Drosophila melanogaster: one gene and its partner. The protein of the gene in region 1 purifies or fractionates together with the protein of each later gene. This does not show direct contact. Each region holds a gene or a part of one and is shown in the gene's direction. Other genes may lie near its edges.

The links.
Region 2: the proteins of UQCR-C1 (region 1) and UQCR-11 fractionate together in Drosophila melanogaster (co-fractionation; one study listed by BioGRID). This does not show direct contact.

The regions. Positions count from the first base shown.
Region 1 is NT_033777.3:14,888,002-14,892,887, forward strand, and holds UQCR-C1 (Ubiquinol-cytochrome c reductase core protein 1), read left to right. Parts: upstream 1-2,229; 5' UTR 2,230-2,356; coding exon 2,357-2,425; intron 2,426-2,694; coding exon 2,695-2,901; intron 2,902-2,960; coding exon 2,961-3,289; intron 3,290-3,351; coding exon 3,352-3,722; intron 3,723-3,783; coding exon 3,784-3,875; intron 3,876-3,949; coding exon 3,950-4,294; 3' UTR 4,295-4,386; downstream 4,387-4,886. Other genes in the region: CG33332 (uncharacterized protein), read left to right, coding at 1-733, 794-958; CycC (cyclin C), read right to left, coding at 1,193-1,408, 1,469-2,056; Dph2 (diphthamide biosynthesis 2), read right to left, coding at 4,406-4,886.
Region 2 is NT_037436.4:25,118,696-25,122,109, forward strand, and holds UQCR-11 (Ubiquinol-cytochrome c reductase 11 kDa subunit), read left to right. Parts: upstream 1-2,053; 5' UTR 2,054-2,123; intron 2,124-2,182; 5' UTR 2,183-2,206; coding exon 2,207-2,290; intron 2,291-2,348; coding exon 2,349-2,522; 3' UTR 2,523-2,676; downstream 2,677-3,414.

The DNA.
Region 1 (4,886 bases):
GAAACGCAGCAAGCATGAGGAGGAGCCACCTGTGCCTTACACGCAACCTCCACATTTAATTAATGCATCTCCGCCAGATGTGGCTACAAACAACGAAGATTCCTTTGGTCCCGCTTTACCGCCGCATTTAAGGAAGACCCAGCAGCCGGAACTCCCTGAGCAAAGCCAACCAGCCCCACAACCGCAGGCCATGATAGGACCCGTCCTGCCCAGCAATTTGACCCGGGAAAAGTCTCCTACTAAGGAAGCGGAAGCTGAGGACGATGATGACCTAGCTGGCACCTTTGGTCCTCTGCCAAATGCCAGTCAAGTGGCTCTGGAGGAACGTGCTTTGGCACTTAAACTGGCAGCTCTGGAGGGCGGGGGATTGGGTACATCTACAGACCAAGATGTCCGCGAAGAGTGGATGCTTGAGCTGCCAGATGTGGGACTGAAGAGCGGCCTTGCCGCCCTGAGCAATATGAAGCGCACTTTCTATCAGGGAAAAGAGCGACCCGACTTTAGCGATCGATCATCCTGGACGAAGACCCCGCAGAGTGAAGCGGATGCTGCTGCATCGGGCCCAAAGTCGCTCAGTTCGAAGGAACTCGAGCAAATGGCACAGGTCAAGTACGAACAGCAGCGGGATGACGAGCAGGAGAGCATGGCCAAGAGGCACAAAAAGAAGCACAAGCGAGAGGAGTCCCTAGTGGAGCTACATCAAAAAAAGCTTAGGAAAGAGCAGAGAGAAAAGGTACGAGGAAAAATATTTCTTAAAAACATAATATGGATATAATATTGTTATAAATTTAAGGAAAAAGAACTGGCTGCATCGGGTTCCAAGCCAGAACGAAGACCTTTTAGTAGGGATGTGGACTTGAAACTTAACAAGATCGACAAGAATCAGACCAAGCAGATTGTAGACAAGGCCAAGATATTGAACACCAAGTTCTCCAGGGGTCAAGCTAAGTATCTGTAGGTTAAATGAACCATAAAAAATCCAGACGATCCGTACCGCATGTTAATCTTAAGCAATTATGTAATTTAATTTAGAAATAATTATTATAAAGGCAAAATAATTTGTAAATGACATTTTTGATTGCTTAGTCACCTAGCTTAAACTTTCGTTTAATTGGCATAAATACATTGGTAATATGAGTACAAACACACAATTGGGCAATACCAGCTAATGATGAATGATTATGAAGCTCTTCTAACGCTGAGGCGGTGGTTTCGGTTTCGGAATCTTGGACAGCAGCATCTGAATCTCGTCCTTTTCCTTCCAGTCCTTCCACAACTCGTACAGATTTACAATGGCGCGCACGATCTCCTGGACCTTGTCTAAATCAACATTCAATTCTGCGAACCACTGCTTCGTGGCGTCCTTTTGCAGGATGACGCAGGCGATTTGAAGGCAGGCTATAGCGATCTAGAAAAAAATAGGTTCTTCAAATGTGAGGAAGCTGTAGAAATTATCAGGATCACAAACCTGGTAAGGAGGATAGAGCAGGCAGACATCGGTGCGCAGGGAATCGTTTACGATACGCCAGCTCAGGGTGAGCAACTGGTCCTCCTGGCCCATGTCCTGAACCAGCTGCAGCAGCGGTCTGTACGGCTGGTAGACAATCAAGCAGCAATCCAGGTTCTCCAGCAGGTAAAACTCGCACTCCAGGATGTGATTGGTGCGGTAGGGAAACTCCTGAGCGTACGCATAGCTGAACTTTGTCTTAATGGCCGACTGGCAGATCGAGATCAGTCGTGAATTGGAAATGACACCGAACTCCTCCACCTTCGAGGCCAGCAAGATGCAAGTGGGCGCCAGCAGCAGAGGATCGATGTTCTTCAGGGAGTTCCTCGCATAGAATCTCTTGAAGTAAACCGTCGCCGTGGCGATGACCTGTTGCCTCAGCTTTAGCTGCTCGCCGAGCACCTGGATCACATTTGCGAAGAAAATAAACACCTTTTGGTATTCATCCTCGTTAAGGGCCAACAAATCGTGCTGACGCTCCCGGAGCAGATCGGGTTTGTCCAAAATCCACTGCTGCGAGTGCGAACTCTGCCAAAAATTGCCCGCCATTTCGTAACTAGTAGGCCTAGCTGATTAGGTCGGCCAATATTTTCGTGTTAGCTATCCAAATTAGGTGTTTATTTCAATAGCAAGCCGGAAAACCAGGAAAAACGAAAAAATTGTGTTGCCGTTTCAGCCAGTGTGTGCACACCAGGGCTATTTTCCACGAACAGCTGACTGGCCGCAGCCAACTTTGCGCAGCGCAGTACATTGGTGTGTGTGTGTGAATTTTTCATCAGCGCCGCGGCCACAGACGAAAAAGTCTTAAATATTTTTTAGTAATAGGCTATTGAACGAATTAATAAAACGATGGCGTTGCGAGTTCTTGGCGTGACGCAGAATATGCGCTCCTTCATGCGGGGCGTTGACATGATCAAAGTAAGTCCAGACAGCCATCCAATGATTACGCTTCCGAGGATTTAAATTACGTAATTGTAAATGATTGTGTTTTTGGTTGCAATTGTGGTTTATTCTTGTGAGAAAAGGGATAAACAACCTCTTGTTGGTCAGTTATTCAAGAGCCATCCAGTTTTTCAAACAAATATTTGGGAAAACTGTTTGGAAAACCCACTACAAGCACTTTGAGGTTATGTTCGTGTTTTACTTAACTCTGGGCTATAGTTTTCCCAATTTTCCCGAACTTACAGCGATACAAGTCGGCTGCCACCCTACAGAAGACTCTGCTGAACATACCCGCCACCCAGGTGACCAAGCTGGACAACGGTCTCCGCGTGGCTAGCGAGGATTCCGGTGCCTCTACCGCCACCGTGGGACTGTGGATCGATGCTGGGTCGCGCTCCGAGAACGAGAAGAACAACGGAGTGGCCCACTTCCTGGAGCACATGGCCTTCAAGGTTGGCTCACTAGCTTGATGCTTTAAATGCGTATAATATGCGTTTCTGCCACTTTTTAGGGTACCGCCAAGCGCTCGCAAACGGATTTGGAGCTGGAGGTTGAGAACCTGGGCGCCCACTTGAACGCCTACACTTCCAGGGAGCAGACCGTCTTCTACGCCAAGTGTTTGTCCAAGGATGTGCCCAAAGCCGTCGAGATCCTGGCCGACATCATCCAGAACTCCAAGCTGGGTGAGGCTGAGATCGCCCGCGAGCGTTCGGTGATTCTGCGCGAGATGCAGGAGGTGGAGAGCAACCTGCAGGAGGTGGTCTTCGATCACCTTCACGCCACCGCCTATCAGGGCACTCCTCTGGGCCAGACCATCCTGGGACCCACCAAGAACATTCAGTACGTATATTCAGCTCTTATAACAAATGCTCTGTCTCTAATTAAAATCTTCATTTATTTAGGTCCATTGGCAAGGCCGATCTGACCGACTACATCCAGACCCACTACAAGGCTTCGCGCATCGTTCTGGCCGCTGCTGGCGGCGTCAAGCACGATGATCTGGTCAAGCTTGCCTGCAGCAGCTTGGGTGGCCTGGAGGCCAGTGTGCTGCCCGCGGAGGTGACTCCCTGCCGCTTCACCGGCTCCGAGGTGCGTGTGCGCGACGATTCCCTGCCCCTGGCCCATGTCGCCATCGCCGTCGAAGGCTGCGGCTGGACCGACCAGGACAACATCCCCCTGATGGTGGCCAACACCTTGGTGGGTGCTTGGGATCGTTCCCAAGGCGGTGGCGCCAACAACGCCTCCAACCTGGCCCGTGCCAGCGCTGAGGACAGTAAGTGTACATCAGTAAGACGACCAGGATATGGAGATTATTAACTATTATTGCCCTACAGACCTTTGCCACAGCTTCCAATCGTTCAACACATGCTACAAGGACACCGGACTCTGGGGCATTTACTTCGTGTGCGACCCTCTGCAGTGCGAGGTAAGAAGAATTAATGATTCAACAGAAAACTCTCGAGAGAAAGCAAATTTTACGTAAACAAACCTCTTCCCCAGGATATGCTCTTCAACGTGCAGACCGAGTGGATGCGTCTGTGCACCATGGTTACCGAGGCTGAGGTCGAGCGCGCCAAGAACCTTCTGAAGACCAACATGCTGCTGCAGCTCGACGGCACCACACCCATCTGCGAGGACATTGGCCGCCAGATCCTGTGCTACAACCGCCGCATCCCGCTGCACGAGCTGGAGCAGCGCATCGATGCCGTGAGTGTGGGCAATGTGCGCGACGTCGCAATGAAGTACATCTACGATCGGTGCCCAGCCGTCGCTGCCGTGGGTCCCGTTGAGAACCTGCCCGACTACAACAGAATCCGCTCCTCCATGTACTGGTTGAGGGTTTAAGAGGTTCCGCCCCGCTGTTGTTGGACATTGTAGTTTAATTCAAAAGAAAATTTCACCCCCAGAGGATCAGTAAACCGATAATACTAAAAGTTATATAAGTTTCTCAGGCCTTTATTGGTGTGAATAGTTAATGGGTATACCACTGAGTCCCTGCTGCAACTTGGCGGGCTCCGTCTGTCCAAGGGCAGGATCCAATCCCTGCCAGGTGCGATCCTCGAAGGAGAGCCCGGTATCCGTCGTCATGAGAGCCATTTTGGCTTGTGTAGCCAGAGCAAGCGAGGCGGGATCTCCACCTGTTTCCAGGGAATCGTTGACCGCTCCTCGTAGCCTTCCACTCACCAAGCTGACGTCGTTCTCTGGTATATCTGCCGCATCAAAAGGCAAGAAGCTGCGTCCTTCCGGCAGAAGTTGTTTGAAATCCGTAACATAAGCTTCGGGGTATCTCATGTGCCAGGCGGGATTCAAGGCCATCTCTGCCTCGAAGACAGAGACAATGGGCTTATAGTACTCTTTGGAGTCGTACATATTATTGAACGGGCAACCGATCAGGACAAAACAATCGATTTCCAGGAAGTTAGCGAGTTTGGCTGGG
Region 2 (3,414 bases), on another chromosome or scaffold:
ACCCAAAGTGTCATCGTTTTCTACCCATAGACTTAATGATTGGCGCTAGTCTCTTCTACGAACTGCTGTGCGTCGGTCAAGTCAATACCACATGCAATTCTAGTGTCTTTGGTCGCACCTACACCTTTGACTTGGAGTTCTGCTGTTTCCTCTGCAAATAAGTCGCTCTCCAATTATTCATCATATTCTTTAGTAATTTATGCATAAACAATACACGACAGCGCCACTCGGTCGGTTGGGCGGGAGGTGTGGCCGTGGGACCCGTGCAATTGATAAAAAAATAAATTATCGTTCGAGATCGCTGCATAGAAATCGTCTTTTCTTTGCAAATAGCTAATAGAAGAGCTTATTAGTTAAACAGTATTAGTTTTGTAAATTTCTAACGGTATTCCTAAAAACTTTTTGCCACGCCCACAAACCGCCAAAAACTGCCTCGCCCACACTTTTTAAAAATGTTTTTATATTATTTCGTATTAATATTAGTCTTTTATCGATTTTGCAAAAAAAAAAGTTTTGCCATGCCCACTCTAGCGTGAACAAACCGCCCAAAACCGACCTTACCATTGAAAAATGTTTGATTCTTCTTCGTTTTATTGTTTGTCTTCCGGCATTTTAATCGGCATACCAAAGACACTTTGGTCACGCAAACACAAACAAAACGCCCAAAACACACTTTTGAACCATTTTAGGTTTTCCTCATTTTTTAAAATTATTCTAGTGTCTTTGTTTACTCATGCGTCTCTAATGTCTCGAATAAACTTTGCAAAGAAGCATCGAATCTATTTTCTGTGCTTAGAAAAGGGACATATGGCGCGGTTCTGTAGGATTGATGGAATTTAGTTTACTGTGGGCTTACAATCCTTAACTGGTCTGCTATGGAAGAATTACGAGGTGAGGCTGACAGGCAGCTATAATATGAGGGTCATCAACATTGACAGCATACAGAGAAATTGAAAATGGCTATGTCAAGATGATACGTACAGTGACAGTGACAGTGTCTGCCACACTTCGGTGTCGAAAATCCAAATGAACCTACCAAAATACGTATAATCTACGTAATCTATAATGACGCAGCCAAGTCCCGGGATTAGGAGCTGCTTCAAGGTTTCTTGCAGTACACGTTCCTGTCGGAAGTGTGTGTACTTCAGGGAAGCAGCAGTCGGGGTCTAAAGATGGCCCAGGAATTGTCGACAGTCGCACTGAGGAATTTTATAAGCTGCCGTGGACCGGTGGCCAGATTGAGGAGTCAAAACGGAGAAGATGTAGAACGAACTGTCATCAAATTAAATGGAATGAAAATTTCAATGCCGGGCAGGAGGCGTATGCGAGCGGATGGTCCACGGGTTGAAGAAGGTACTCGCGCATACTAATAAAAAAATTAAGGTTAGTTTCAAATATTTTAGGTCTTTTTATTCTGCTTTTTACCACACTATGGTTCCTATTCAAATACAAATTACAACAACTATTCAATACAAATTTTATTTGTGTGTGTAATTTTATAGAGAACACGCATAGTTGTATATATCAATAAAGAAGTTTTCGCATCAGTTTTATGAAAACTTTCTATCACTTAAGCATATATTTATTTGATTGCTTTTAATTAGTTATTGTTTAAAAACTAGAGCAAAAAGAACCAAAAAGACAGAGAAGACAACTCTGGCCCACAACGAATTAGTAATTATTAATTTTCAGTAGATATTTTATCCACTTTTTTTATCAGCTTTTAGCTGATTGAATTTCGTTTTAAAAACACCACGTCATTTTTAAATGTTTGCCTCCAAAAACATGTATCAAGGGAATCAGGAAAAAATTATGAAAAGTTTTAAATAAAAGTTTATAGCCTAAAAAAAATTATCTGACCCCCGTCACGGCGGACAACTGGCCAAAAATTATTTTAATTGCTTTGATTGTACCTTGTGTGAACAGATTTTAACATCTAGGTAAAATTGCAAACGGTTCATAAAGATGTATTCTATTGGGGCTAGGCTATAAGCTTAGCTAATTGATATATATGCATAAAATAATCTGTTTTTGTTGGTCTGGCCCTCATAATTCAGGCATACATAAAATACATTGTGATTGCATCATAGCGGTCTTAAAGGTTATAGTTATTTTTCAAAAATGTAATTTACGTTCATATTCATAAAATTTGGTACTATATATGTTTTTGAATTCTGACTAGTTTATTCTCTTTTTAGCATTAATAATGGCTTTTAGGAACTGGTTTTCGCTTCCCGCCGTCAGAGCTGATGACGAAGAGGACTTAGTTGACCCTCAAGCAGTTTTAAGGGTAAAAAAGATTTCTTTACATCATTTAATATAACACTAAACTGATTTTTATGCAACAGGAAAAATGTCAAGCTAAAGGTCACATAGAATCCTTGTACAATAAGTACCAAGAGTGCAATGATCGTGTTAATGGGCGATCCAAAACAACTGAGACTTGCATCGAAGAATTATTTGACTATGTTGCTGAGTTAGATCATTGCGTTTCGCACAGTCTTTTTACAAAGCTTAAGTAAATACCATTAAAGTCAATTCCATTAAAGGGAAGGGCAGTGCTTAAAAATAAGAACATAAATAAACAAATCTCTTTATCGAGTTTTATACGTGTTTTGTGCCTTTTGGTGATCAGAACCTTTTAGAAGCGAAATTGGGTAGGTAATACTACACTAGTGGGCATAAGTATTTGCACGCCTTTGTTTTAATACTAAACCAAGGGTATTCTATTAAGTTGAGGGCTGGAATTTGAGGTGGCCAATCCAATGTTTTTATGCAAACATTTTTCAGAAACAGTAATCAGTTTGGTCTTATAACAGGGAGCATTATCATGCTGGAGTATGAAGGACTCTCCAATCAATTCATCATCATTATTATTAAGGACATCTAAATATTTTATTTGATTCATGTGTCCATCAACAGGAACCAAATCTCCCAAGACAGTGAAGGCTACGCATCCCCAAAACATAACAGACCCTACTGACTATTCTTTGACATTCTGGTGCCAGTTTTTTTCGATATTCCGATATCGAATTTTCGAAATTTAAAAGGTGGAACCATTTGCCCATGTTTTCCATTGCCAGCGCTTATGCAATGCATTTGCGCTGCAAATGTGTCTGTACGTATGTATATATTTATAATACATTGAAGTATTTGTATTGAGTAAAGTAATATGAGTTTACTGAGTGGGCTTCTTTTTTATTTTAGTTTATTTTTATTGATATTGTTTTCATTAAGTGATGCCATCAACTATGAATAAAAAAGTTTTAACGTGTAATTATGAACTACTTGTTTTTTGTTTAGTTACTTAATTTCATAACAAAACTATCTCCCACTGCTATTTTTATTTTGTTATGTGTAAGTCATTATTTTCATTATTCTTTCATTTATACTCTTCATGCATAGTTCTAGTTT